Linked DNA regions of Mus musculus. The protein of the gene in region 1 purifies or fractionates together with the protein of each later gene. This does not show direct contact. Links are inferred from orthologs where the notes say so. Each region holds a gene or a part of one and is shown on either strand. Other genes may lie near its edges. The genes, in order: Cdk14 and Ccny.

The links.
Region 2: the proteins of Cdk14 (region 1) and Ccny purify together in Homo sapiens (affinity purification with western blotting; 3 studies listed by BioGRID and IntAct, with this or other methods). This does not show direct contact. The link is inferred for Mus musculus from reciprocal best matches to the Homo sapiens genes CDK14 and CCNY.

Annotation. Positions count from the first base shown.
Region 1 is NC_000071.6:4,881,206-4,897,332, reverse strand, and holds part of Cdk14 (cyclin-dependent kinase 14), read left to right. Parts: intron 1-3,165; coding exon 3,166-3,305; intron 3,306-8,352; coding exon 8,353-8,468; 3' UTR 8,469-8,496; intron 8,497-16,127. UniProt on the Homo sapiens protein: Serine/threonine-protein kinase involved in the control of the eukaryotic cell cycle, whose activity is controlled by an associated cyclin.
Region 2 is NC_000084.6:9,323,413-9,339,539, forward strand, and holds part of Ccny (cyclin-Y), read right to left. Parts: intron 9,539-16,127; coding exon 9,372-9,538; intron 1-9,371. UniProt on the Homo sapiens protein: Positive regulatory subunit of the cyclin-dependent kinases CDK14/PFTK1 and CDK16.

The DNA.
Region 1 (16,127 bases):
GGGAGAAGTTGGGTTTTTTAATTTACTTTTCATCATCTTTTGAAAGTTTGCTGCAATATCTTAAGCACCCAGGGAAATAACGATACTCTTTTTAAAAGGGAAAAAAAGAATTAACAGTAGCCTCTAGGACACAGATGAGCACTTAAACATTTTATATAAGACTAAAACAAAAGTTAGAAGACACCGAGTTTTCAACTTCAATTTGAAAGAAGGTAGGAAAATTTAAAAAGCTCAAGAGGATAAGATGGCAATGCACAATTATCCTGGTAGCAAATGTTTCAATACTTAAAAAAAAATGTGAATGGACTAAACTTTCTTATTAAGACACAGGGATTGCCTGAGTGCATAAAAACTAAACCCATCTATGTAGTATATATGAAAGAGAAGGCAGGTCACAAAAGGTGTCAGAAATACTAAAACAAAGGCACATGCAGTCATTAAATTAATGAGAAGAAAATGTGAACTTTGGCTTAGAATGTCTTATTAAATGTAGAAAAGATCGTATGAGGATGAAAGTCCTACTTTATGTGGAAGGTATAACATTTCTAGAATGTTATGCATCTAAGTACCAGCCTTACACAGCATAAAATATCCATGGGTTTATATAGAAGATATAACAAATATGCCATCATCATCATCACCATAGGAGATGGATAACCACAGTCATTATAGCACTCTGCTAAGGTAAACTGATAGTTTCCGATAAAGCTGCTTCCCCAAAGTATGACAACTTAAGTGGACCCAGAGAGTGGTTCTAGCAATGACCCAAACCATGGTACTAAAAAGGCATGGGGAAAAATTGGTACAAAGTTGGTTCTTTTCATGAAATGCACGTAAGAAATACAAACAAAAGTAGTAAAATAAAGAAACAAGAATTTTATTTATGATTTAAACTTTGCGCATAAACTTGATATCACAACTAAAAATGTATTTCATAGACATTATTAAAAGTGTAGTTTTCTTGGGTGGGAAGAATGAAATTGTCTCCTATTGGTGAGCTCCTTACATTTAGGTACACCTCATTTTATCTAAATGCAGTAACCTGCGGCAAAAACAAAGGTGCAACTGTGAATGTGCACAGTTCTTCAAAACAGTAAGCCGTGTTTCCAGTGCTGCACATAGCTCTCCTAAGTGGAGGGACTGCAGATACATGAGGTTCACCCATCTTATCTCTTAGATGAGAAAATTAAGATCAGAAAAAGAAAATGTGTTAAGCCAGACATGGAAACTCATGTCTCATGTAACCTCAGCACTTCAGGAAGCTGAGGCAGGAGGATGATCATGAGTTCAAAACCTACCTTGACTATCTAGTAAAAAATAAACCTGCCTTGACTGAAAATGAGATCTTATATCAAAAAACCAAAGAGAAAAAGAAGTGGTACTCATTGCTCTGTATTACAAATGTTCGCATGTTTATGGTCACGAATTTAGTGCTGGATATGGGCATACCAAATATTCTAATTACCAGTTTCTTTAAGTACCTAAAGTATAGTAACGTAGAGTTTGGGGTGATTGGCAGCATTTTTTCTTTTTAAAATAAATGGTATTTATTTAATTTGTACAAAATTGTGTCAGGTCCCAAACTCAAATCTGATTGCAGTCTGGTTCGAATGCTCTATTTTATCAAAATGATATAAAATTGATAGGGATGGGATGTTCACTATGTAATTTATAAACAGCACCTTCAGTGTAATTATGCCTTTACTGTGAAGTCTGTCTATTTCAAACTTGAGTTTTAGAGCTGTTAATGACAAATTTGTAAGCATGAGAGGTCTTGAGACAGGAAGGGATAGTGTTGGTGACCTAGACCCCTCTGTAAGGGAGAGAAGAAGGGCTTTGAAAACGACTCCTTTTCCTGTGGACAGATGTCTCTTAGACAAAGACACTTAAAGCCAGTCCTGGGATCTGTCTGTAAATGAAAGAGACAAGTGAAGCAAACATCCATTGCAGCAATGGATCCATCCATTCATGACACCTTGTGATGGGAAGATGTAAAGCTCCACTTTTGTGTCTGCCTGAGTGCATCGGCTCCTTTCCCCTTCCACAGCCCCCTCCTAGAAGCCTTCCCTTCCCACTACAAAAATGTGAGAGTGTGGAGTTGGAGGCTGAGGCTAATGGTGTGCTTAGCACCTTCAAGGCTTTTGAAATTACTGGCGGAGCAGCTTGGCCCCAAGCCCCAGCCCTGTCTGGCTGCCTCTGGGAGTTGGTAGAGTTAACACTGCTTGCAGAAACAGAGATGTGTGGGTAAACGCCTTTGGAGAACATGGATTGCCTCAATGAGCATTCCACTGCCATTCCCTACCTATTTTCTATACCACCAAATGGGGGTAATTCCCTGGTTGGACTCTTATAGAGGGGGTGCCATTCATCAGTGTTGTGTTAATTTTCCATGTCTGATTGCTCTGACCAGCGGAATAGTTTCCATGAAAAGCAAAACTGGGAAGACCAGGCATGGCTGCCACCCAATGGAAAGCTGATACCACATCAAAGGGTTTGCTTCTATCCGTTTCTCCTATAATCTTGCGACACATACCCTCTATCTACTGTTGTTTTAAAGGTCATCTTGAATTGATTGAGCCCCGTATCATTTAAGCATATCTGTTTGTTAACCTGGATGCCGGTATCAGAATGGCTGGCATTTGGCAGGACAGTTGCTTCGGTATTTTTATTTTATTATTATTTAAGGCAAGAAAATATAAATTCTTTGAGGGAAAGTAATTTTAGTAACCGGAGAATTTAATAACTTAATAACAGCTCTATTTTAATTCCCCTAGTTATTCGGTATTAATTTCCTATAAATGCATCCATATGTGTATGCCATACAAAGAGTCCATGAATGAATGCTGGCAACTATTTGATAAACTGTCATCTATAATTTTCTACTTCTGAACTTACTTTCATCCATTCTGAAATAATCAGTACTTTGCTTACAGTCAAAATATTTTAAGTCAACAATCCTTAGCATATCTAGAGAAAAGGACATTTTAGGATAACACACAGTGGAAGGGTGCATGTGCCTTCAGTTTGTTTATTTCAGCAGGTAATTTAAGTTGTTTCCCTGGCCAGACATAAACTGAAGTACATAAGATGTGGCATGAGCCTTAAGTCGTACTTAGTGACTGTCTCCTTCGGTCTGATGTTTTCTCTGTTTTTGCTTGTTTTCAGGCTCAGCTATGTAAATCATGCTGAAGACTTGGCCTCCAAGCTTCTCCAGTGTTCCCCAAAGAACAGGCTATCAGCACAGGCCGCCTTGAGCCATGAGTATTTCAGCGATCTGCCTCCACGGCTATGGGAGCTGACTGATAGTGAGTAGGACTCCAGCATCCAATCGGAGCCCTTGGTCATCAATGTGTAGTATGCATGTAGATAGATGGGCTCATTCATGTTGCATAAACATAAGGTTGTGTGTTTGTGTGTATGCATTCTGTGTGGGTGGGTGTGTGTGTGAGAGAGAGATGAGAGAGAGAGAGAGAGAGAGAGAGAGAGAGGAAGAGAGAGAGAGGAAAAGAGAGGAGAGAGAGAGAGAGAGAGAGAGAGAGAGAGGATTCAATCGCTCAAGCCAGAAGGGGAATTGTGTGTATATATATTTATTGGAGTCCTGCCATTCAATTGCTAGCTTACCAGACACAGAAAGAAAATGGATTCATTTTTTGCTATCTCTCCTCTGCAGTCGGCAGCTGCGCGTCTTTGTATTTGATTATGTGTGTGTCCAAAAAAATGATCTGAGCAGTCATAAAGGAAAATATGATTTACATATTTAGTGCTTTCTGCATACAGTACTATTTTAACTGGCTGCAGTACACAGAGGAAAAATGATTCATTTCTGTTTGATTTTCAGAGACCATCTTGGTTGTAACAATAACCTTCAAAAGCACTGCTAGGCAGTGAACTGAGGACCCGAACTGGCAATTGGCAAATACACTGAATTGACATGTAAGAGCTGAAGACATGGAATTCATTTTAGCTACACATGTTCTTGGTATTTGTACAGACAGCTCTTCTCTAGATCTTTTTAAAACAAAACACATTCCTGGGTGGGTTTTTGTTTTGTTTTTACAAAAGTACTCATATTTACACAGGCTTTTTCAATTACATTTAAAGTATTTGGGGAAGGATTTATGGCTGGGAGGATCTCAGCTTTCTTCCCAAGTGTGAAGCAGAATTCTTGTGAAATTTTGAAAAACATTGTGGCAGCAGTAGGAATATTTTTATTCAGTGGTGATATGTTCCAAAGACCCGTTAGAGATATTTCATATTTCCTGATTGCCTTAAAAATAGCATACGGCATAGATAGATAAATATTTATAAGGCATTTATTAATTCTTATGCATACATCACTTATAGTAGACAGGAAGTTACTTCCTTTGTCTCTGGAATTTATGACTCCCCTGCAGCATTGGATTCTCCATAGCAACAGTCAGCCACCCTTTCTTTGGATCCAAATCCTAAGTAACAACTCCCCTGAGTCTTCTTAACCTAACTTTTCTTTTTCTATCTCACACTTACGTGTGCTTCTTGCCCCTCCCCGCCAAGGTAGCTATGGGTGTATTAACCTGATGCTTTCCTTATGCATTCAAACCCTCATTAATATCTTAAGCATTCCCAGCCTATATTTCCTTTATCATCTATCTTACTTCCTTTCTAAAGGTCGATCCTTGATTATAACAGTGATTCCAAACTTTAAAGGAAAGTACAAGACTTAAATTTATAGGGGAGAGGAAAAAAAAAAAGGAACGGATCATACCTCTCCCTGTGCTGGAAAAGACGAAAGGGAGGCAGGGCCCACTGTGTTACAGCCCGCTGCAATCAAAAACGGGGCTTGTTTTCCCTATGCAGTGTAGCTTCCACCTTGACCTCCTTGGCGACAGCTCAATGCTATCTGACTTGATGATGGAGTTTAAGCCAGGATTTTGAGAGTCTGCGAATTCCCAATTCTGTAGTAGTACTTCCCTGTTAATATGGACTTATTACCCATTTGCCACTTAGTTTATCAGCCAGTGGTTAAATCCAGTTGCTATAAGGGAGTAAATGCCTACACATTATCACCGAGCAGCAGCCTGCCAACCGAGACAGCCCCGTCCCTGTCATTAACAAGCACAATGTATGCAGAACACCAGAGGGGAATTAAAACCACAAAAAATACCTCAGGGTGGTATTTTTAATATGAGAATTTAATTTGTAATTTCACAGATTAAGAATTTTGGCTGCATTAATCCCTTTATCAGCTCACAGCAGGCTATTTGCAGAAGCATAACCATAAGACGATATTCATTGGCAGAAACACGTCTCTGCAGAACGTTAAACATCATGAGCAGCGAAACCTTTTGAAGGGGGGAGAATAAAGATGAAAAATCATTATATTTTTAAAGCAAGATCCTACTAAATGCCTCCAGTAACAATTTTGAGTTACAGAAATGCTATTTCTGTGTCGGGAAGATAATCATTATGAAGGGTAAATCGATTCGCAGAAAGGACAATCCCAGCACTAAATACTACAGTCATTTCCATTTAGAACAACGTGGCTGCCCTTGTAAACATGTTTTCAAAACAAAGAATCCCCAGACTCATGTGACTTTGGGAATTAGTTCCTTAAAGTGAATGAAGGGCTCGTGTTACTCTTGTCTGAGTATTAGGCTGACAGTACTTGTAAATTCTTGACATTCTTCATATTAAACTTCAGATGAGCGTAGATTTTTTTTTTTTTTGTAAAGTTCACTGTCTGGTAAATGACAGAATGTGTGACACTTCAGAACCTTTCCATCTTCCAGTTCAAGGGTGTCTGGGGGAGGGTGCACCTGTCACAGCAATACTGCAGAACCAAGGAAGGGATGTTGTCTGCAGCCAGCTCAGAACGGATGCCTCACCAGTTCCAAGATCCAGGCTGTCTTGGTCAGCTCACATTGTCCTAAGGAAATAGCATGGCACGGGGAGGCTAAAACAACAGATATTTATTCTCACAGTTCCAGGGGAGGAGAGTTCAGGACGAAAGTGCTGCCTGGTTCTGTTCCTGGTAAGGGCCGTCCTCATGACTCCCAGGCGCCCCTTTGCTTGCTCTTACAGGACACAGAGAATATTTCTCATTTTTACATGGCTACTAATCCCATCATAAGGACCACTCCCTTCCTGAGACCATCTACATTTTATCACCTTCCTAGTCAGGCCCTCTAGGCCCATATAGTCCACATGGACATGAGAATGAATGGGGCCAGTTGGACCTCTTAGGGAAGTGACCACCACGGAGCAGATAATACAGTTGATAGGGCTGATCTGGATTGAGCAGGAACCATGGTAGGAAGTATAGAAATAGAAGCATTCATGGCTAGCCAAGCCCTGAGAGTGGTACAGGCAAAGTCAGCATACATTTCAAAATGGCCACGGATGCACCGTAGATCTGTGAATGTTTATTGTAGTTATGTAATAAGAAAATTTAGAAGCAAAGTATTAGTGTCATCAGAGCAGGAAATAGAATAAGTGCATCAAGCAAAAGTAATTATAGGATTAGGTAGGGAACTCTGTGGCAGCCAGGCTGACCAGGGATGGTGACAGTGTCAATCTCCTGTCCCCAAATCCAAACAGCCTTGCTCTATTCCTTCATAAGGATTTAATTGCAGGGAAATAAATAGTGGGTTGATTTAGAAGAAATTCATTAGTTTCGCCAAGCACACCACAGGGCATTCTCTGTGTATACTATCAAGTTACATAAATAATTGAAGCTGAACTATCCCTGTCGAAGTAAATGAACAAAATACAGTTCACAGCGCAGAGGCCTTGATTTCATTACATTCATTTGCTAATTCACAAAACTCAAATCTCCTCAAAGAAGGCCAGCAAATTGGTCCGGTGTGGAGAGCAATGAGCTGGGAATCACACGCCCTAGCTACAAGCTCAGCCCCACAGGTCCTGGCCAGGCAACTGTGGCCATGTGCCTTGGTCCCTCTGTGCTCCCAACTCCTCATTCAGAGAGCAAGCTGAAGAAGGCATGGAAGACCCACAGGACCTTTCTAGAGCTAGTGCTTATAGTCTCGACTGCATTGTCCTGTATAATACTCTAACAGCACGATGCTATTATGTAGTGTTGTGCTATCTTTTTATGAATATGGCAAGCACACCTATTTTTTTATTACTGAATTTATTTAATTTGACCCAGGGTTGCACTATATGTAGACTAGACTGATCTTGAACTCACAGCACTCCCTGCCTGCAGAGCTCTGCCTTCCTAATGCTGGAATTTAAAGCTTGCATCACCCTGCTGGCCAGTTGAACAGCTCTGCCCTTTCCTTTCCAGGTTCCACCTTGAGTGTCTTCTGTGTAGGTGGTGATAACCCCTGTGATGCTATTTCAACCCCTCTGTCTCTGGGGCTTCCCCAGCTTTTAGCTAGATCTGTCCGTGGAATTAGTCACATTTATCTGGCACCTTTTCCTATTAACACATCCTTCCCTTGGTTCCCCATGTAGGATTCTTTCATGGTTTGACTTTTACCTCCTGCAATGTTGCTTTGCAACCTCTCTGATCTGCCAGGCAGGCTAAGGAATGCCGTTGAGTTCCCAATGTATTCATTCTCCTTAGACCTTTCTATCTGGTTCATTCCCTAGAGCTGAGTGATGGCATCCAGCCTCAAGATTTAAATATTATCCACACACTGACACTGACTCCAAAGGTCCCTAGCTCGCAGACTCTCATATTCAAGCAACTACTTAGCCTCTCCTCTTAGCCCTCTGTAAGACACTGAAAAGCTGGGACTGCTAGAATCAAACTCACGATCTATTCACTGCAACCAGCTCCTTCTGAAACTTCCCAAATGTTAGAATCAAAAAGTACTTCTCTCAGGCTCGGGAAAGATGGCTCAGTGGTTAAGATCACTGACTGCTCTTCCAGAGGTCCTAAGTTCAATTCCAAGCAACCACATAGTGGGTCACAATCATCTGATATAGAATCAGATGCCCTCTTCTGATGTGTCTGAAAACGATGACAGAGTACTCACGTATGTAACATAAGTAAATCTTTTCAAAAGGGACGTCTCTCATAAATTATTTTTTAAAAAATGGCAAAGACTTGTCTCCGAATCCAAGTGTATCATTCTAAGATCAGCAAAACAGGAGCCGTGGCTCTACCTCATGCAAATGTGTATGTGTGTACATGTACGTGTGTGTGTGTGTGTGTGTGTGTGTGTGTGTGTATACATGTGTAAGTGCATATAGCTGTGTGTGCACCTTTGACCACTTGGCATTTCAAAACCGACCCTTACCACAGCGTTTCACATGCTGTAAATCCAGAGAGAATCACAGTCCTCTTTAAATAAAGTGTCAACATGTGTATAAATATGTAAACGGAATATCGCATTCTCTCCTCAGTGTCTTCTATTTTTACCGTCCCAAATGTGAGATTGCAACCAGAAGCTGGAGAGAGCATGAGGGCCTTTGGAAAAAACAATAGTTATGGGAAAAGCCTATCGAACAGCAAACACTGACAAGCCCGGCACTCTCAGGAGAGCACAGGTAAGAGGCCCTGCTTTGCTGGAGAGTAATGTTTGCAATAGATGGGGAATACAGTTTTCAGTGAACAATTTCAGTCTCATTTCTCCCTGAAGCTGTCTTGTGAGTCCTGTGGGCTTATTCTGGCCTGTGTCAAACATTTTGCTGAGGCAGAGAACAATCACTGATGTCAGCGTTTTCAGGCACCTCCGAAGCTCTTAGTAATGTTGTGCTGGATCCTGTAAGTTCGCTCTGCAGTCACTCGCAAACCACTGAGTGCTGAGCACCCAACTCGATTACTCCTGAGTTCATCACTGAAGTTAGCAAAGGTCCACTATGAGCTGGACCTGAACCACAGACCTGTTTTATTTGGCCAATGCAATTTGCTTTTAATTATTTGCTGTCATTTTAAAATTGGGATACTTCATACAAAATTCTAGATTTTTAGCTTTTCATGAAGTATGGGCAACTCTGACAATGCCCCCAGTTCTGCCCCACCAGACGATCTCATGTGTGATAAGAGAAAATGTGCAGCTGTTGTTGTAAGCGAAGTAGCTTGCCAGGTCCTCCCTGGGCTCTGATTCCTGTCTGGCCCCTGCCACAGACCTATTGAGGTAAAGCTCTGGGTCTCATAGTTTGCTTCTTTGACCTCTACTGTTTTACAGGTAGGAACTGTGAACTATCATGGTGATGTTCAGGCATGTTAACCTGTCAAGTTATTGCACATGCCCAGGGCCAAGTTTAAGGCAGTGATGTCTAAAAGGTTGTATCTTTCTGGGTTACCAGAAAGAGATGTCTGGGGTGTTTGGTTGGTTTGGTTTGCTTTGCTTTGGTTTGGTTTTTCAGTTTTGGTTTTTCAAGGCAGGGTTCCTCCCAGTATTCCTTTCTGTCCTGGAACTTGCTCTGTAGACCAGGCTAGCCTTGAACTGAGAGTTCCCTCGCCACTGCTTCCTGAGAACTGAAATTAAAGCGGTATACCAACACTACCCACTTCTCACCCTTATGGGGAAGCCCTTCTCTAATGCTTTTGGCAGAGCATGTTCTGTGTTCCATAACTAAGTGCTGAATGACGTGAGCTGAATACAAGAAGAACTGTTCACGTGTGTGTGTCTGTGAGGATGTTGGGGATGGGGGTGATATAGGCAAGAGGTTGATATCAAATACCTCCCTCAATTTTTGTCCACCTTATTTTTTAAGACAGTGTCTTTCATTGAACCTGGAACTCTCTGACTCAGGTCCAGCAAGAAATCCTCATGTCTCTGCCTCAAAAGCATTGAGTTTACAAGTATGAGCTACCTGCTTGACTGGTTGTTTTGTTTTGTTTTGTTTTGTTTTTTAATTTGGGGGAATAGCCTGATTCTCTCTTATTTGGAAATATGGTAAGAAGCAAGGTGGATTTATAGCAAAGACGGTGCACACAGCTCTTCGGTACACCTGCCAATCTTCAGCCATTTTGGAACCTAGGTTTTTATGCCCTCAAAATGGAGGTTAATTTTGCTAGCCTAGGGATGTGGCAGTGATTTATGTTGCTTTGGAAGAGGAAAAAAGGCTCCTGGTTAAAGTGTGACATGTAAATACTGGCCAGTAGATACTGCTACTAAACCACGGATGAGAGGACAGCTTTCTTTGGGTCATTGTATATGAAGTCAGTGTCATCTGGGACCCACTCTGAGTTGCAATGGTCAGATAGCTTGTGGCTTAGAGTCTAACCAGTTTCTGACCAGTAGCCTCGTGGTTCTGAGAATGGTTTGATTCATAAAAGTTACATGCAGCATGTGCATTTTAATGGTATTTAGCTCCCGAGTTATTAACCCTCTAGCTAATTCAGTAGAATAAGAATGAAAACTGGCTCTGTTTTATTGATTCATGCTTACATGCAAGACTGAATTTCAGTGGCAGGATTGTGCTTGCGTGTCCTTTCTTCTTGGCTCTTCTGAACTCTCCTGATCTACCCAGTCAAAGTTGCAAAGATGTGCTTAAGATCAGCTCATTATTGTACAATCAAAAGGAGCTGACTGGACAGAGAATTGCCCGGAAAGGCTCAAAACTTGCTAATTGAAAAGAGATTTTCAAAGGTGCTCAGAATTGGAGCCAGCGGTGCTTGCTAAGCTCACAGTCCACTTCCTCACACTGGGTCCAGGCTTAGCTCCACAGTGGGCAAGTGTCTCTACAATTGTCTGATAATGTACAAATATTCTCCTTATGACTGTTATCTTTGTCACATCAACGTTGAAGTCTTCAGCATTGTTGGTCCACAGAGCACATCTGATTCAGCAGGCCATTAAAGAAACATCTCCATTCTTTTCATAAAAGCTGCAGAAAATCTGGATTCTAACATGTTGCTGTCAACACAAAAAGAAATCATCATAGTTTCTTATTTTACCAAACATTTCCATGTTAGAGATCAGATATTTTATTAGTCCCTACAACATGTGGCATGGCTCATTTCTGTCCAGTAGATGAATTTCAAGCTAAGGAGATTATGAAAGAAAAATATCATGTTAATGAATCTCAGGAAGAAAGATGTCATCCTCTAGTCTTTGGTTTTCTTTCCTGGTTTTAAATGTATTCATCACCTGTTTGGAGTCTGTGACATATTAAGTTTCCCTGAACTGTCTTGATTTTTTTGTAACACCCATAGTGACAGAAAAAGAGAATGAAGGGAAGAGACTGGGGGCTGAGGTAGTCTGAGCCCAGGCTAGAGTTTTAGCCACCTCTCTCTGCTGATCAGCAGGCTCTTGGTCTGGAACTTGGATTGTGTCATGCTGCTTTTGAGATGACAGGGACAGGGCATGCAGGAATGCTCCAAGTCCTAATATTTCTCCTGTACCTCAGTGCCACATTGTTCCCTTTCTTGCAAACTGAGGTCACTTCAATTATTTAGTTAATAATGTCTGGTTTGCATAAATTGGCCTTAGTGGAAAAGCTAATGCAAAGCATTTTGCTGTGTAGAAGAAAGCAATTGGGTTTTAGTCTTGTAGCAAAATTAAATGACAAGAAAGCCACAAGTGCCAGGGTTAAGACTAGGATCGCTGCCACTGGTGCTCACTGCTGAGCTCCATTCAGCTCCTTACTCTCTAGCCATGTTACTTAGCCGTCTCAGAGCTTGTCCCACTCGTTTGGTTAGCATTGAGAGTTGAACAAAACCCAAGCAAGTTTCAACTGTACATAGGAAACATTCATCAAGGAAAATACCACTGGTAATATCAAATGTCACATCCTTTAGTCGCACTTACATTTGTATGTGGTGATACCAACCAGAAGTCTGTGCTGAGGTAATTTTTTTCAGTGTGCTGATGGGATAGAGTGGGTTGGTCACTGTCTTTTTTAAATAATCTGGGGATAAGAATACCCCTTCTCCACCAGTGATCCTATGCTCTAAGATCAAGAATCGACAAATGGGACCTCATAAAATTGCAAAGCTTCTGTAAGACAAAGGACACTGTCAATACAACAAAACGGCAATCAACAGATACGGAAAAGATCTTTACTAATCCTACATCTGATAGAGGGCTAATATCCAATATATACAAAGAACTCAAGAAGTTAGACTCCAGAGAACCAAATAACCCTATTAAAAAAATAGGGAACAGAGCTAAAACAGAGAATTTTCAACTGAGGAATACCAAATGGCTGAGAAGTCACCTAAAGAAATGTTCAACATCCTTAGTCATCAGGAAAATGCAAATCAAAACAACCCTGAGATTCTACCTCATACCAGTCAAAATGGCTAAGCTCAAAAAGTCAGGTGACAGCAGATGCTGGCAAGTGTGTGGAGAAAGAGGAAAACACTTCCATTGTTGGTGGAATTGCAAGCTTGTACAACCATTCTGGAAGTCAGTCTGGTCATTCCTCAGAAAATAGGACATAGTCCTACCTGAGGACCCATCTATACCACTCCTGGGCATATACCCAAAAGATTCTTCAACATATAATAACATGCTCCACTATGTTCCCAGCAGCCTTATTTAAAATTGTCAGAAGCTGGAAAGAACCCAGATGTCCCTCAACAGAGAAATGGATACAGAAAATGTGGTACATTTACACAATGGAGTACTACTCAGCTATTAAAAACAATGAATTCATGAAACCCTTAGCCAAATGGATGGACCTAGAAAATATCATCCTGAGTGAGGTAACATAATCACAAAAGAACACACACGGTATGCACTCACTGGTAAGTGGATATTAGCCCAAAAGCTCAGAATACCAAAGATACAATTCACAGACCACATGCAGCTCAAGAAGAAGGAAGACCAAAGTGTGGATGCTTCAGTTCTTCTTAGAACTGAAAGGGGAACAAAATACTCAGGGGAGCAAATATGGAGACAAAGTGCAGAGCAGAGACTGAAGGAAAGGCCATCCAGAGACTTTCCCACCTGGGGATTCATCCCAGATACAGTCACCAAACTCCAGCACTATTGTGGATGCTAAGAAATGCTTGCTGAAAAAGAGCCTGATATAGCTGTCTCCTGAGAGGCCCTGCCAAAGCCTTACAAATACAGAGTCAGATGCTCAAAGCCAATCATTGCACCGAGTGCGGGTTCCCCAATGAAGGAGTTAGAGAAAGAACTGAAAGAGCTGAAGGGGTTTGCAACCCCACAGGAAGAACAACAATACCAACCAACTAGACACCCCAGGGACTAAGACCCCAACAAAGGAGTACACATCGCTCTAGCTGCATGTGTAGCAGAGGATGGCCTTATCAGGCACCAACAGGAGGAGAGGTCCTTTGTCCTCTGAAGGCTCCATAGATGCCCAGTGTAGGGGAATCAAGTGGGTGAGTGGGTAGAAGAATACCCTCATAGAAGCAAGGGAAGGGGGGTGGATTAGAGGGTTTCTGGGAGGGGTAAAGGGATAATACTTGAAATGTAAATAAATTAAAATAAATAAATAAATAAATAAAACACTTAGAGTAAATGTGAAAATAGTAAAGTAAGGTGATAAAAGAAAAAGGCCTCAAAGGGGAAAAATGGAGGGGAGTTGCTAAACACATACATGCGCACGCACACACACACACAAAACAAGAAACAAAATTATTCCCAATTTGAAAAGTTTTGAGAACAAGATTAGATCAGTGTAAGAATGGAATTGAAAAATGAGTTTTTAGAGAAACAAAACAAAACAACCTCTCCCCCAAATACTCCCAAATTCAATAAAATAAAACCAATGTAGTACTAAAAGTATAATGAAGAAAATAAGGTTGGGGAAAACAAAGAAGTAATGGGGGAAAAAAGGTAAAAGTGAGATTATCCAGCAATCTTAAAATGTATAAAAATTTGGCTGGAGAGATGGCTCAGTGGTTAAGAGCACTGAATGACTTCTCTTCCGAGGTCCTGAGTTCAATTCCCAGAAACCACATGATGGCTTACAACCATCTGCAATGGGATCTGATGCTCTATAATGGTGTGTCTGTAGCTACAGTGTACTCCTATGCATAAAATAAATATATCCTTTAAAATTGTAAAAAAAAAAATCCCTTCTCAATGAATGAATAGTCTTGGACTCCATTAAACTCATAGTAACCTTACAAATATTTGTCTAGTGTATGAAGTAATACTGTTTGGCTCAATTGTGAGAGATTAACTATGCATACTTTGGCGATCTCCTTCTGTTTCAGCATATCATCATTCTTAGTCCAAATTATTTAAGAATTACATGACAATGAAAAAAGTCCTCAGCCTCACTTTCCTTACCCCAGTCAGTGAACAGTCATTTCCTCAAAGTGATCTGTTAGGTAAAGAGATTCAAAGCTATTCATTGTTCAAGAGTTTTCACTGACTCACTTCATTGACTAGGATCAAGGGTTTGGTTTTGTTTACTTGGCACATTGTTTGTTTGCCAAAGTCTATTCATGACCTAGTGTGCTGCTGCCACCTTCTCTGAAAATAGGCATCTCATATTCTAGGACACCAAACTCCTGCAAAGTTTTCCAACCCAATACCTGGGGTTCACGAATCAATATTTTAACAAACTCCAGTGGTCATTAACTGACTACTGAGAGATGGAGAATACATTGTCCCTGGGTTGAGCTCACTAAATGGTTATGTAATACCTCATGGCCACCTCTAATCACATATTCAAAGGAGCAAAATTGAATGGGCTCAGTGGGTTGTATTTATGTATTTAATGGGGTGGTGTGAACATGCGTGTGTATGTGTATATTACAATAATTACACAGGCTAAAAACGGGGAAGGGGGGGTGGGTTGGAAAGAGGAAAAGGTAAGGCAAAATGACAGAAACACAGTACTCATAGTCCAAATTCTTTAAAAAACATATAAGAACTTAAGGGGACCATAGATAGTGAAATCTTCAATAGTTATCCAGGGATTGCATGTTTATAAGGTAAAATCAACAACTTACTTGAGTCAGGACAGAGTAAAGATAAACTAGGAAAATAGTATACCATGAAGCAGAACTATTTGTTCTCCCTCTTTCCTTTTCCATAAGAAAGAATGGTTTCATGGTGTGTAATGTAGGAATTGTATGCCCATTTAAAATTACTTAATTTAATTTCAATTCACCTTAAATATCTCTTCCTTGCTAGAATTTCTCGTGCTGTATAGTTGAAGTGCATAGATACCAGGTCTGAGGAGACCAGGCAGGCATCACACAGTACCCTTCTGGACAACACTGATGGAGAACTCTTCTTCCATCCACCTATTTTAAGGAAAAATCAAGAAAACAGAACAGAATTCATTGCAGTCAAGTGTATCTTGGTGCTAGATGAAAGTCGCTTTAGAAGGACTCGGACGGTGAGAAAAGAGGCACTTGGCCAAAGCAAAAGGAGCCAGAGCCAGGTGACTGAGTTACATGAGAGGCATGGAAAGACACAATGCCTGGTGCCCACAAGAGCAAGAGATGACATTAGCAAGGGCCATAACTCCATTGAAGTGCCATAGTGGCTTCCTCCGTTAGCAGTAGTATGCAAAAGGAAGGCAGACTGACAGTCGATATAGCTGCACACACTTCACAAAGACAGGACTGTAAGGCAGAAGCCAACAGTAGCCTTAATCTGTCTGCCATATTGACTCTGGAAACTGCTCCAGGAGATGGAGGTGTCCAAGGCTCCCCTTCCATGCTGTGACATTGTGGTGGGTCACTTTTACAGTCGGTGTCATATTGTCTTCATCTTCTCTTCACTTTGTAGTTTCTGTTGCCTTGTTTCTGCTTACTCATGGATCCATCTTCCTCTCTCTTCTCTTTGTCCTATTTCTGGAGGAATCTGCTACTGATCTCTTATTACCTTGGATCCTAAAACCCTCCTAGAAAACTGCTCTGATTTGTATAACCAGGAGTAGAAACTGAGGCTATTGGGTGAACCCTCCCTTTATGAACTACTGGCTGATTCCAGGCTGCTTCTAAATCAGAACTGAGCCTGATCTGACCAAGCCAGCTCAGTCAACAGGTTCTCCAGCACAGGAGAGAGGATTAAAAAGAAAAAAGACAATTAGAAAACATTGTAGCATGACCCCAGCCAGTTCTGAGGCTGGGGAAGGTTTCTTCTTCCCAATCCACTTTTATACCATTTTAATTACATTCAAGTAATTCAGTCAAGCAGTACAATAAACACTAATAGTCAAGGAACAAGCAAGGCAATAAACAAAGTCCCAAGATCACTCCCCATCACTGTTTCTGAGGGCTTATCAGGTTA
Region 2 (16,127 bases), on another chromosome or scaffold:
CTATAGAACATTTCACCCAAACACAAAAGAATATCCTCAGCACCTCATGGAAACTTCACCAAAACTGACCATATACTCAGTTACAAAGCAAGTCTTAACACACACAAGAACTGAAATAACACCCTGTATCTTCTCAGACCACCATGGATTAAAGCTGGACTTCAACAACAACACCTACATACTCATAGAAACTGAACAATTTTCTACTGAATGACATCTGGGGCAAGGTAGAAATAAAGAAATTAAAGACTTTTTAGAATTCAATAAAAATGAATGTACACCATGCCCAAACTTATGGGACACAACGAAATTTGTGATAAAAGGAAAGTTCATAGCATTACAATGCCCTTATGAAGAAATCAATTAGAGCTCATATTTGTGATTTAATAGCATACCTGACATTTTTAGAGCAAAAAGAAGAGTAGATGGCAGGAAATAAAGTCAGGGCTGAGATAAATAAAAACAAAAAATACAAAGAATCAATGAAACAAAGAATTGGTTGAGAAAAATCAACAAGATAGACAAACCCATAGCCAAATTAAAGATAAGGCAGATGGGTAATATCCAAATTAACAAAATCAGAACTGAAAAGGGGCAGATACCAAAGAAGATCAAAAAATAAATTTTGGTTTTTCTTCAAAAATCTGTACTCCACACAATTGGAAAATCTAAATGAAATGCATGATTTTACTGATATATACCACTTACCAAAGTTAAATCAAGATATTAGGTAAACTATATAAATAGTCCTCTAACCCCTAAGGATATAGAAGCAAACATTAAAAGTCTTCCAACAACAACAATGACAATAGCAGCAGCCACCACCACCATCACCCCTGGCTAGACAATTTTAGTTAAGAAATCATACCAAGGCTTTCAAATAAAAGCTAATTCCAATTCTCCTCAAATTTTTCCACAAAATAGAAACAGAAGGAACACTGTCAAATTCCTAGTATAAGTCCACATTCGCCCTGATACCTAACCACACACAGACTCAACAAAGAGAATTCAGACCAATTTCCCTTATGAAATGCAAAGTAGTCAATAAAATACTTGTAAACTAAATCCAAAAACACATAAATAACATCATCCACCATCCATGATCAAGGATGTTTCATCCGAGAGATGCGGGAATTGTATAAAACAGGAAAATCAATCAATGTAATACACCAAATAAACAAACTACAAATAAAACAAAACAAAATACAAAGACAAAAAAACATTATGATCTCATTAGATGCTGAAAAAGTCTGACAAAATCTAACAACCCACCATGTTAAAAAGTCTTGGAGAGATCATGGATACAAGGATACATAAACACGATAAAAGCAATACATAGCAAACCAGTAGGAATATCAAATTAAATGAAAAAAACTGGAAGCAATTACACTAAAATCAGGCACAAGACAAAGCTGCCCACTCTCACCCTATCTATCCAATAATAGTACTTGAAGTTTTAGGGAGAGCAGTAAGCAGATCAAAGGGATACTAACAGGAAAGGAAGAAGTCAAAGTATTGCTATTGGAGTATGATACCAGGAACTTCTAAAGTCTACCAGGGAACTTCTTTCTAAAGTTGTAAACACCTTCAGAACGGTGGCTCGATAAAAAAAATCAACTAAAAAAAATCAGCAAAACAACATCCATTACAATAGCCACAAATAATATAAAATATCTTGGTGCAAATCTAACCAAATAAGTGAAAGACCTGTATAAAAACTTCAATTCTCTGAAGAAAGAATGGTGGCTAGGCTGGAGGGAGGAAAGAAAGAGAGCTAGCTGCACAATAGTGCAGTTTATTGAATGCTAAAAATAAAAGTTTCATGCTATGCATATTTTAACCACAAACTGAACAACAAACAACAACCACCACCACAGACACCAGGCACCAACAGAGGGACTGAGGTTCTTTATGTCCTGATCTGTCTGTGATAAATAGATAAGTAGCCTGGCTTCTGGTCACTGAAGATTCCCCCAGAATACATATGAAAATGACCCTTAAAGGGACTACTACAAACACAAGTGAATCATACAAATGCCAAGTGAAATTTTTAGAAATGTCTGAGTAGAGACTAGAAAGATAGCTCAGTAGGTAAAATGCTTACCTTGAAAGTACAATGACCTGACTCAGAACTCTTCAAACTCAAGTAAAAGCTGGAAACAACACTGTATATCTATAATTCCCATGCTCCAAATACAGTTGCAAAGTAGAGGATCCTCAGTTCACTGGACAGCCAGCTCGTTGTATCGACTGGCCAGGGACAAAGAGCCTATCTCAAGGTAGAGGGGGAGGACTGACATCCAATGCTGTCAGATCTCTACACATGCACACACCCATGCCCACAACCACACACGCATACAAGCTACACATGCCCGTAGAACTCAGCACAACCAGGCCTCAGCATCTGCTTTCCCATGTTCAGCAACTATCATTTGATACTTTGGTGTTCAAAATCTGCTTTGTGATGGCGTGAGAACATAACAACTAGTCTGTGGTTTATGTCTACCTGCACAAGATTGGCCTGGTTGGGGGAGCATGATTGTCTGTCCAACTGAGACCAATACAAGTTTGTAGATGGAACCAACTGCCCTCTCAGACAGTTGCAGATAGGAGTGTAGGTCCAGTGGCTATGCAAACCTTACACTACGACCTTCTGCACACAGTTCGTCAGGAGGCAGACTCCAGAGAAATGTCCGACTTGAGGATACTGGAAACAGCCCACTGCTGAGTAGGCTGTGTTCATCTTTGTCTTGGCCCGGGCTCCTTGCTTCCAAGGAGGCCTCAATCCTGCTATCCTCTATAAGAGGTATTTTCTTTCCTTAGTCACTTGAATGATATGCCCCCTTTCACTCTAGAGGACTTACCAAGCTTTGGTGCAAAGGTATAGATCAAGGACTTCTTATAGAAAGTAGGGTTTAAGAGCTCCACTTTATCACCCAATAACAGTGTGAAGCCTCTTTACAAATGTGGTTCAAGGCTACAGATTCCTTGGTAACTATACCTTTTAACCATTTACAGCATATTAGTCTGTCAAGACTGCTGAGACAAAAGCCACAGCTAAAACCATCTTTTTTCTGTTGGAGGGAGGCAGCTGAAGTTTTCCTCCTTGTCCTACAGGTAGTTGTTCTCCTGGGTCTCCCATGGTCTCAACCACATTGTTATGTCCTCAGGTTCTTTGCAAATAGTGATATCTTGACTTCTTCCCTGCCAATTTGTATCCATTTGTTCTCTTTTTGTTGTCTAATTGCTCTGGGTAGAACTTTGAGTACTATACTAAATAGGTAAGGAGAAAGTGGGTAGCCTTGTCTTGTCCCTGATTTTAGTGGGATTGCTTTGAGTTTCTCTCCATTTAGTTTGATGCTGGCTATTGGTTTGTTGTATATTGCTTTTAGGTATGGGCCTTGAATTACTGATCTTTCCAAGACTTTTATCATGAATGGGTGTTGCATTTTGTCAAAGGTTTTTGTCAGCCTCTAATGAGATGACCACGTGGTTTTGTTCTTTTGAGTTTGTTTATATCGTGTATTACATTGATGGATTTCCATATATTGAACCATCCCTGCATTCCTGGGATGAAGCCTGCTTCATGGTGGATGATCATTTTGATGTGTTCTTGGATTTGGTTTGAGAGAATTTTATTGAGGTTTTTTGCATCGATATTCATAAGGGAAACTGGTCTGTAGTACTCTTTCTTTTCTTTTCTTTTCCTTTCTTCTTTTTCTTTTCTTTTCTTTTTTTTTTGTGGCTTAGGTATCAGTGTGACTGTGGTTTCATAGAAAGAACTGGGTAGTGTTCCTTCTATTTCTACTTAATAGAATAGTTTGAGGAATATTGGTATTAGATCTTCTTTGAAGTTCTGATAGAATTCTGCACTAAAACCATCTGGCCCTGGGAGTTTTTGGTTGGGAGATTTCACTGCTTCTATTTCTTTGGGGTTTATGGGGTTGTTTAAATGGTTTATCTGATCCTGATTTAACTTTGGTAACTGGTGTATGTTTAGAAAATCATCCTTTTTAATCCATGTTTTCCAGTTTTGTTCAGCATACACTTTTGTAGGATCTGATGATTTTTTTGAATTTCCTCAGTTTCTGGTGTAATGTCTCCCCTTTCATTCCTGATTTTGTTAATTTGGATATTGTTTCTAGGCCCGCTAGTCAGTCTGACTAAGGGATTATCTATCTTGTTGATTTTCTCAAAGAACCAGTTCCTGGTTTTGTTGATTTTTGTATAGTTCTTTTTGTTACTACTTGGTTGATTATAGCTCTGAGTTTGATTATTTCCTGACCTACTCCTCTTGGGTGTATTTGTTTCTTTTTGTTCTAGAGCTTTCAGTCAAGCTGCTAGTGTATGCTCTCTCCAGTTTCTCTTTGGAGACACTCAGAGCTGAGTTTTCCTTTTAGCACTGCTTTCATTGTGTCCATAAGTTTGGGTATGTTTTTTTTTTCTTATTTATTTATTTATTGCTTGCATGTGACTATACTGTTGTTGTCTTCAGACACACCAGAAGAGGGCATCCAATTCCATTACAGATGGTTGTGAGCCACCATATGGTTGGTGGGCACTGAACTCAGGACCTATGGAAGAGCAGTCTGTGCTCTTAACCCCTGAGCTATCTCTCCAGCCCTGGGTATGTTTTTAGAAGTGGAATTATGTTTGTGTCTCTTTTTTTTGTTTGGATTTGTTGTGGAAAGATTAATTTCTTGCTTTTTCTTGGGTGTAGTTTCCCTCCGTGTGTTGGACTTTTCCTTCTATTATCCTCTTTAGGGCTGGATTTGTGGAAAGACATTGGTGTGTGTGTGTGTGTGTGTATACATATATACACATATACATATACATACACACACACACACACACACACACACACACACACACACACACACACACACATATATATATATATATATATATATATATATATATATATATATATATAGAGAGAGAGAGAGAGAGAGAGAGAGAGTATATGAGTACACTATAGCTATTTCCAGACACACCAGAAGAGGGCATCAGGCCATTACAGATGGTTTCGAGTCACCATGTGGTTGCTGGAAATTGAACTCAGGACCTCTGGAAGAGCAGTCAGTGCTCTAACTGCTGAGCCATCCCTACAGCCCCAGAAAGATGTTTAAATTTGGTTTTGTCTTAGAGTGTCTTGGTTTCTCCATCTATGGTAATTGCGAGTTTTGCTGGGTATAGTAGCCTGGGCTGGCATTTTTGTTTTCTTAGGGTCTTGTATGACATCTGGCCAGGATCTTTTAGTCTGGCTTTTAGAGTCTCTGTTGAGAAAAGTTGTGTAATTCTAATAGGTCTGCCTGTATATGTTACTAGACCTTTTTACCTTACTGCTTTCAATATTCATTCTTTGTTCTGTGCATTTGATGTTTTAACTATTATGTGACGAGAAGACTTTCTTTTCTGGTCTCTGGTGTTCTGTAGGCTTCTTGTATGTTTATGGGCATTTCTTTCTTTAGATTAAGAAAATTTTCTTCTATAATTTTGTTGAAGATGTTTGCTGGCCCTTTGATTTGGGAATCTTTACTCTCTTCTATACCTATTACCCTCAGGTCTGGTCATGATACAGGATCTGTGCTCATACCTGAGATGAAACAACCTTCCCCACAGCTGTATTCTTTCTAAGCCCTCAATAGAACTGCTATCAATGTCTCTATTTCTATCAACCATCTCTAAGAATCCAGGGTTAACTTTCCTTTTGAAAACATGCCTCCAATCTCTTCTATCCTTTGGAACTGAGCTTCAAAGCTACCTTTACCCCCATTCCCCCTACCTTTTCAAGAATTTGTTAGAGCAAGATTTCCCAAGACTGAAATCTGCAAAAGTCTCCTCAAAAAAACTAGGACCAAATACCAGGGTTACTGACTGGGTATCCTAAGCAACAAATGTTTCCCCTTGGTTCTGAAGGATGAGAGGTCAGTATCAAGCAATCTGCTGTGGCCTTTCTCCTTGGTTAGAAATTGCTGCCTTCTCTGCACCTTCACACTGCCATCTCTCTGTGTGTCTATGGCTCAATCTTGTCCATTTGTGAGGACAACATAGACATTTGATTAGGGCCCATCCTGATGACCCCATTTTTAGTTGATGTCTTCTTCAAAAACATTACTGCCAATTATAGTTACATCCTGAGTTTTATGGGTCAGATTTTGAATGTTTGAACTCTGAGGAGATCTAATTTGGCTGCTAACAGCCAGAACCTGTTACAGGCCTCTATGTGGGTTCTAGTCTTAGTGCTGGGATACACATTTATCTGAGACAAATGCATGCTGAGAAGCACAGCATGGGGGAAGACTCCTTTCACTATCACTCCTATCACTCCTATCACTATATCTCCTATCACTTTTGTTTGCTAAAGCTCACTGGCCTCTGAGAGGGAGCAAATCAATGGGTTGGCCTCTTTCCACCACTTTTCTTCTGTTTTAGGAGGTGGGGCAGGCTGTGCACCCAGCCTTACATAGGTTCCTCATCCCAAAGTGGAGTTTCTAAAGTGTTGCTACTGAGAAAACAATTTCAGTGGGCAGCTAGCTAATACCAAAAAAAAAAAAAAAAAAAAAAAAAAAAAGTTGGAATTAGGTAACTTGTATTAACACATGACTATGATTTTAATATGTAATTCAGAAAAACCTAAAAATAGTTCAGTGGCATTAATATAACAAAATCCCTTGTAATGTCACGTTTCGAAGCTACTATATTATTGAAGATAACAATGAGAATAACTTGTGCCACGAGGTAATAATAAAATTATGAATTGGTGGAGTAAATCAGCTATACCAATCTCATTAATAGATTTAGTTTATTCTATAACCTTTAAAGATTCCTATTTTTTGTTGGTTTTTCTTGAGACAGGGTCCAGGCTGCTCTGTTACTTACCCTCCTCCTACACTTCTGAGTGCTGAGGTTACAGGCATGTGCCACCACAAATGATTCTTCACACTGTGCTGATCAACTGGGTGCTACTGAGGTAAAGAAGTTTATAAGTGATTCTATTACAGTCCGGGAAGCAGCACCACAGTGTCACTTTGTATGGATGTTTTCTGCTACAGATAATTTAAGAACAGATTAAGGAGCAAAGAAACTCAAAAGAAAATTTAGCTCAATGAGAAAGGGGACAATCTAAAACCTCAGACTCTGAGAACATGAATAATGGTGGCACTCAGGGTTTGGCTCACACTTGCCATTTTAAAATGGGGTTAATCACAAATTATGATGAGAGAAACTTGTCCACGTCCTCTCTCTGAGTTAAGTCTTGGTATCTGGCTGGCCTGGTCCTCATGCATCATCCTGTATCAGCCTCTGCATGCTGGGAATGAAGGCGTATGCTATCACACTTAAAGAAAAAGTTTTAGCATCATCTCATAGTAGACAGATAAAGGTTTCCAAAATATTTTAAAGATGGATAAACCAAGCTAAATGTGTGACGACTTCTGTGGTCATGGTGGATCACTATACAGAACATTCTTTTCACTGATGCCATACTAGGAAGAATTCCATGGCCTTGGGTATTTTGCTTGGGGTTGGGACAGGGCAGTCAAACTTGTACACCACAGATCTCCCCACCTGTGTCACCAGTTTCCCTCTGAGAAAACATAGTCTTCTCGGCATATAAATAGCTATTCAAACCAAGAACTTTGTCACTCAGAACAAATGGTCATCATACAAGAGTCTCAATAGGCTGCTTGCTAATTAGTCAGGAGAGAGAGGAGCAGGCCTAATAGAGGTCCATAGTCTCCAGAGGTAGGTGAAGGGCACAAGATGTACATTCTATTTTCCTCAAAAGGATTTTTATATATACTCTGGGCTTGAATTTTGTCTGGATCCCCTGTCTCTACCTCCAAACACTGGCAATTGCACGAGACATCTGGTTACAGTCTACACTCTGGAACCGAGTGGTCACTGTGTGTTTTTTTCCCTTTGCTCAAAACTGGTATAAAGCTATCATCCATCACAGGCTATTATGATCTGATGAGAATTAGCATGTGGTTTGCTGGCAATCAATGAGCCTGGTTACCAATAGGGTTCAAAGAAAGGACAGAAACTAGTCTAAAAAAACCATTATTTTTCTTTTGACAAAATATGGAAAACATAGAACTTTTGTATGAGTTCTATATTTTGCATACTAGTATTACATGTAACATAATGCTTTCAAAAAAACTAGTTTTCTTAAAAAAAAAATCCTTATTTGAAAAGAAATTCCAACCTCATTGTAACAGATAATTATTTATGGTACTGAAGATCTCACAAAAGAACATATATTTAGTGTATGCTCATCAAAATAATCCTCCCTCTCTCTTGCAGGTACTGGGGCCAAACCAAGATGCTCAGATCCTGAGCTCCAGCTCCAGCCTCCAAACCATTCTTTACACTCAATTTCAGCTGAAGGAATTTTGGTCAGATTTTGTAGGTTTTTATATAGAAGAGGGACAGATAAATAGATAAGATAGAAAGATAGACAGACAGACAGATGATCATTTAAAAATACAATATCATATATAGTTTAGAAGATTTTTGCTTCAACCGTTCCCAAGAAAAGAAATGTAAATTCTGGCTATATCATTTAGTAGCCAATGTGCCTCTAGCCTGGTGACTCTCCCACACAGGTTGCAATAAGATTCTCGCTCTAGGGCTATTGGTCCAAGTATGTGGTGTGACTGGTATATAGCTAGTAACCTCCTTCCTCAAGGTGGTTAGCTTAAGTGTTAAGCCAAGCAAAGAACACAAGAACTGACTAAAGACTCCTGATGGTTGAGAGGCTTGAGTGCTTCTATGACTCAGCGTTCCCTTCTCAGTTTTCTGATACCCGTGGATAGGCCCTCAGCCAGTAATTCTCACAGAATCTGAGGTCTGGTCCAGTGGGACATCATCACATAACCCTGGGAGCTAGGTGGACGGCTGTCCTCATGTGGAGGCTCCTCCACTGGTTTTGCAGAGAGAATGATGGAATGATGCTTGTGCAAATCAAGCCCCAGAGTACAGAACCGATTATCAGTATCTGAACTTGCCAAATATGCCAAAACATGGAATGTGTCCTCTGAAGCCAAATGAAAATATTCTAATTTAGTTTCTGAACTTCTCCGGTTAGGCTTGCTGCCCACAGAGGAACATAGACTTTTACTACTATTCCGATGTGACACGGAAACCTAACTATAAATCTCCAAAGAAATATTTATCTGGAACAGAGTTTCAGCAAATACTTTGTGAAACTAGAAAGTATTGCCAGCACCTGTTCCTGGTCAAAGTGATGAGAAATACAATTCACTACATTTCCATAGCCAGGTTTCCTGCTGGACTGACTTAAAACCATCAGCTAAATTCACTCACTTTTTACCACCCCAAATAGGCATGGTATCCCCGGAACTTACATGTCCTCCACTGTGATGTCTTTCAGGATCTGGCAGTAATCCACATTCCACACAGCTTGGTCATCCCACACCTTAGAGGCCAGCAGGATTGCCCCTAGAACAATGCGCTTCCAATTGGCTGGACAGATATCAATCTCTGCGTATGTCAAGAGCCTTTCAAGGTATACCTGAGGAGACAAGAGACATGAGGAAACCAATGCTAATAAGCTTTCAGTTGTCTCCTCCACCCAAGTAACTCAAAAGTCTTTTAACTAGGAGTTACCTGGACACACTTACTTCTTTATATGAATAATCTGCTGTAATTAGTAAAAAAACGTGTCTTGAAATGATGTCATTTATAAGAGCAATGGCAAAGGTACTGACAAAACCAAGCACACTAAACATATATAAAGAAATGTGTTGAGTACACTTAAAATATATAACCTAAGATTTTTTAAACCTGTTTTTCTCCTCTTATTGAAAATAGATTTTTTTCTCACATATTATATTGTGAATACAGTTTTCCCTCCCTCTACTTCTCTCAGATTCTGTCTACCTCCCATTCCACTCAGATCCATTCCCTTTCTGTCCCTCATTAGGAAACAAACAGGCTACGAAGGGATAATAAAATAAAATAAAATAAAATAAAATAAAATAAAATACAGTAAGCTAAAACAAAGGCTAACATAGGCAGCAAAATTAGACAAATCAAACAGAAGGAAAGACGCCCAAGAGAAGGCACAAGAAACAGAACCACTCATTTGCACAATACACCTGGGGATCCATCCCATGTACAGCCACCAAACTTGGACAGTATTATAGATGCCTGGAAGTGCTTGCTGAAGGGAGCCTGATAAGGCTGTCTCCTGAGAGGCTCTGCCAGAGCCTGACAAATACAGAGGTAGATGCAGAGCATGGGGTCCCCGATGGAGGAATTGGAGAAGGGACTGAAGGAGCTGAGGGGGTTTGCAGCTCCATGGGGGTAGCAACAGTGTCAAGCAGCCAGACCTCCCAGAGCTCCTGGGGCCTGGACCACCAACCAGAAAGTACACATGGAGGGACCCATGGCTCTGGCCACCTATGTGGCAGAGGATAGCCTCGTTGGACATCAGTGAGGGGAACACCCTTGGGCCTGTGGGTGTTCGATGTCCCAGTGTAGGGGAATGCCAGGGTGTGAAGATGGGAGTGGGTGGGTGGGGGAGCACCCTCATAGAGTCGGGGGGGGGGGGATAGAGGGTTTCCAATGGAGAGATCTGGAAAGGGGAAAACATTTGAAATGTAAATAAAGAAAATATCCAATTAAAAATATGGAAAAGAAAAAAATCTTTGCTGTAAAGAAACAGAAGGCATTAAGATTCTGTGTATCTAGAGGTAGATACGAGATAAGAAGCACTTGGCAGTGAACGAGCATGGCAGGCGGGTGTCCACATTCTTCTCAATGTGTCTATGTCAGCTGATCTTTGTTGTAGTTCTGTTTCCTTGATGGTTTTAGCAATCTTCAGAAACTACTGTTTTTATGTGTTCTTTGAGAAATTCTACACAATGGTTAATAGATAATACATTTGGTGAAAAATAAAACCTTCTTTGGAGAAAGAAAGAAAGAAAGAAAGAAAGAAAGAAAGAAAGAAAGAAAGAAAGAAAGGAAGAAAGGAAGAAAGAAAGAGGAGAGGAAAAGAAAAGAAAAGAAAAGAAAAGAAAAGAAAAGAGAAGAGAAGAGAAGAGAAGAGACAAGAGAAGACAAGACAAGAAAAGAAGAATCAAGAGTCCCTGAGAACAATGATCTGGAGGCCATAAGTGCACCAGAACACACTAATTCTTAAAGCACTCAAGACCAGTGAGTATGCTTAGACACAGGCTGGAGGTCACACACTTTAACAGTGAAAATGTAGCTTGCCTTGTCAATATTGAGACTGGTATAAATCTCAAAGCCACTGGTCAAAATACTTTCTCAAACAAAGCATGTAAAGGCCACATAGCATTTTTTTCTTCATCTATGAAGTATTTTATTCTTGATCTTAGCCACTGACCTATTCAGCATTTATTTTGAAAAATCATTGTATGCTGTGTGAGGACATGTGCCATGCTGCATAGGTGGAAGCCAGAGGACAGCTTTATGGAGCCAGCTATCTCCTTTCCTTTCCTGTGAGCTCTGAGGATGGAACATGTCTCCAGGTTATGCTGCAAGTGCCTCTATCTCCTGAGTCATCCATCTTGTTGCCTGTTACAGAGCTTTTGTTTTTTTCCACTCTTTTACATCATTTTATTTGGAAATGTTTTAATAGTGCAATGAATCTAAACGTCAGGGACAATGGCTGCCAGTTTAGGCATCATCCATTTATTATTGAGCATGGAAAATTATTTACATGATGAAATAGTTCAGAAAGTCAGTGAAATGGGCAGCTTCACGTGACACCATTTCAACAGTGATTTCAGTCAACATATTTTCCAAGAATGTCACTATCTCTAAATAAGGCATAATCCTTGTCGTCTAGAACTACTTTGGTGCCTCTATATTCTGGGAGAAGTTTCTCTCTAACTTTCACGCTTACAGGCTGAATCTCTCCACCCTTTCCTTTCCCGCCCGACCCCACAGCCACAACCATTGCTTGAAATACTTTTCCTTGCGACTTTTCCGGAAGCATAATGGCACCGTTTGTTTGTTTTGAAAGACAGGATCTTACTATGTACCTCACAGGGATCCTCCTGCCCCCTATAGTTTTTAAAAAACTGAGCTTCATTGTAATTTCAATTCACATGTGGCTGCTGATATGGTTATTACTATAGTAGAACACATGTCACAACACTATGCTCAATCATTTCTAATTGTATCTGAAGCACTAGGTATGCTCAATGTTCAGTAACTATCTTTACCCATCAATATGCAGCTTTTTTATTGTCTCTAAATGAAATTCTACATATATTAACATTAACATATATCTACACTGAACAATTTTTTTTCTAGCCCCTACAATTCCTCCTTCTGCCAACTCTCCTACAAGCACTACTGTACCTTTGTACCTCTAGGAACAAGTATCTTATGAGTATTTTATACCAGTGCATCATACAATATTTATCTTCTAGGCCCTGGTTTATTTCAGTCAGTATAAGGCATCTTCAGGACAAAACAGAGACCTGGAATAAGGAGGCACCCAAGAATCAATGGGGGTATCCTTAGGTGTGACTCACAGCACAGGGGATATGGAACTTGAAGAGGCCACCTCCTGTACCCAGGCAGGAGCCCCCAACAGAATAAGGACACCAACCTACCCACAAAAATTTTGACCCCAAATTTTTCTTTTCTATACTTCAGGGATCAAGCATAGACTGAGGGAATGGCCAACCAATAAGCAGCCCAACTTGAGACTCATCCTATGGGCAAACACTAATTCCTGAAACTATTAATTAATACTCTGTTATGCTTGCAGACACCCACATCCACAGCCAAGCAGTGGACAGAGCCTGGGGATTCTTATGAAAGAACAGGAAAAAGGATTGCCACCCACAAGGGGGCAGGAACTCCACAGAAAGACTAACAGAGAGTCAACTAACCTGTACCCTTGGAGCTCTCAGAGACTGAACCACCAACCAAAAAACATACATGGGCTGGGCCTACGCCTCCCTGCACATATGTAGCAGATGTGCAGCTTGGTCTTCATGTGGGTCCTGAACAACTAAAGGGGGGCTACCCTAAAATCTGTTAACTGTATGTGGGATATGTTCTTCTTGCCGGGTTGCCTTGAAGAGATTTGATATGCCAGCATGAGGGGGGGGGGGGATACCTAGAAGGGGAGGGGAGGAAGACTTGTGTGAGGGGGTGACCAGGAGGAGGGCAGTGAATGCTATGTAAATTGAATAAGTAAAAAAATTAAAATTAGAAAACAAACAGATAAACAAACACATAAACAAAACAAACAGGAAGTCCTTCACTTAAGATGTCACAGGGTGTTGAGATGGCTCAGAGGACCCAAGTTATGTTCCAATACCCATATCAGGTGGCTTACAACTACACACACACACAAATACACACACACACACATCCACACACAAACACACAAATACACACACACACACTTTTTAAAAAACTGTGTCCTAAGTAAGTTGCCTATTAGTTTCCCATAACTAATTTAGACTATTTAAAGCTTCTTTTAATCAATTTTGCAGTTTTTATTGCTTTTCATTTACAAAATGAAACTCTGTATGAGAAAAATGAAACTCAGATTTGTAATACTCTTAAGAACTTGCTTTATAAAAAGATAGAATATGTATAGCTTTATGTATATATTACTCTTACACACACACACACACACACACACACACATACACACACACACACACACGTGTATGTATAGTCCTAAATAGTTATAAAATGTATAAAAAGCCACATGTGGAAAAGAAAATGTATAACTTTTATAAAGTCCAATTTATTTATTTTTTTTATATAATTCCTGCCTTCTATGTCTTTTTTTTTTTTCTTTTTTAAACTTACTTACTAAATTTTTTATTCACATCCAGTTGGAACTCTTAGGGAGAAGTTGGAGATTAAGATTGAAGGTCCTGAAGGGGATAAGAACTCCACAGGAAGCCCAACAATGGACAGAGATTTCCTAAAGAAAGAAAACCCATACCAGATATGGTACTGGGGCTCCCAGGAGAGGCTCAGTTTTGGCCAAGTCCTAGAGAATCAGGACAATAGCATGGGCTGGCAAAGATGAACTAGGTGAAGTGAAAAGTAAGACACCAGGCAGCACCATAGACTTAATGACAGCAGACAAGAGAAAGGAGACAGGTCAATGAGTTCACTTACCTGCCAAACAGTGTCTAGGTGCAGATCCCAGTGGATGCACCATGCTGACCCTGAGCCTCCAGTCAGGGTCAGAGAGGGGCCTGAGAAGCACCCATGACTTGAGGTAGCACTTGGAAGGAAAATTATGAATCAGGCTAAATAGAAAGAAGTAGTGTTTTCGGTGGAGACCATCTAAATATAGTTCAGACACTTGCAGGAAATGATCTCGAAGGTGCCAAAGATGGCCATCTTGGAAGTACCCAAGACTTCTGGAATGTGCAGTTGGCTAAATACATTTATTAGAAACTGGAGGTTCCAGAGGGGAAAAGGTATGGAAGGTAACTGCAGATATGACTGTGTGCTCTATGTCTGAGATAAATATCCCATAGGTTGTGAGCATGGAGACATGACTGAGTCTGTGCAGGCAGATCCAAGGCTTGAAATGAAGAGTAGCAGAGAGAGGGGAGTCCCTTCCCTTGTTTGGAGCTGGAGACAGGATGATGGGGCAGGAAGTTGGAACGGAAAGTGGATCTGGCCCATTCTATTTGTTGGGCTCATACTTGTGTGGAGAACTCAGAGGTTTTTCACACACTTCCAAGTACCGAGGAAGGAAATGGAATTTCTGTCTCTCATAGTAACCAACAAAGATTAAACTCAGCACAGCATGAAGGCCAGAGAAGCAGTTAAGAGGGCAGGCTGAGGAGAGATGAGGGTAGGAAAGGGAATGGAGACGCTTCCTTCCAGAAGCGAACTCCGGCTGCTGGGGGAAATCACGAGTCAGTGCAGCAGGGTACCTGGGTCAGCTCCTCCTCCAACATTTCCTGCCCCTGAACCACATATAGGAAGATTGTTCTACCTAATGATATTGAGAAACAAAGTATTCAATACTGCTCCTTCCAACTGAAGCAAACTTTGCCAGGTATGCACAAAATAAGACAGTAACAGTTGCTTGGTTCCCAAAGATCACTGTTCTGTTTTCAGTGATTCACTAAGAAATACCAATTTTTAAGATCTTGAAGATTTAGACTCTTATGGCTACTTTCTAATACCATGTGGTATGCAGGATGGACCAGGTCACACTCTGAATACAAAGAAAAAACTTACAGTTGTGTGTCATCACATTCAGCAAGAACTAACATTCCAGATTCCAAAGAAAAGCTAAGTCAAGTGTGTTAAGAGACCCAAGACTTCCTGAGGCAGTAAAGTATTTGGAAATAGCTCAATATAGTTAAGTCTTTTCATTATCTCTTTCTACAATAAATCCTAAGTTCCTGATAACAGCCCTACTGTGTGCCACCCCGCACAAGGCTGGGACAGATTAATGCTGCCAAAATGTTTGTTTTTTAATACACCCCCAGTCTCACATGAGGTATCCATTAATGAAATCTGCTTAAAACTGTGAGCAGCCTCCGCCACAGTTATATTCCAACAAAAATAGTAGCAAGGAAATGCAGAAGGAAGCTAATGGGGAAAGTGACCAAATGCCACTGGCATTCAGGAAAGAATTGGCACAGATGGAGGGAGCTGAAGCAGTGAGGTTTAGAGAGACAGCTCAAAGTGATCAAGAAGGCATTCTTCTGCATTACCCATAAGAATCAGCGGCCATGGAGGGAAGCCCAGAAAACCAGGAGTCGGAATGCAGACTGCTCTATGAGAATATCTGTGGCTGGCTCTGAGGATTTGTCACAAGGATGAGAGCCGGCTGTTGATGACAGAAATGAAAGTTAATCGTTTCAGTAACAACCTCTGGATATCTGGATTTTAAATGGAATTTATCATACAGGAGCATGAGCAGTGAGGGTGGGCTTTAGAGAATGATTTTTATTTGTATAAAACAAATAACTGGTTGGGGCCAGGCTGACTTTCAGCTGGGCATTCTAGAGAACCCCAAATTGTACTTTCTCAAGTCTTGACAATAATACTCTTCCCATTCTCTACAGGGTAAGGCAGGTAAAACTATTCTGAAGGCAGAAAACAGAAACTGGGATTACCTC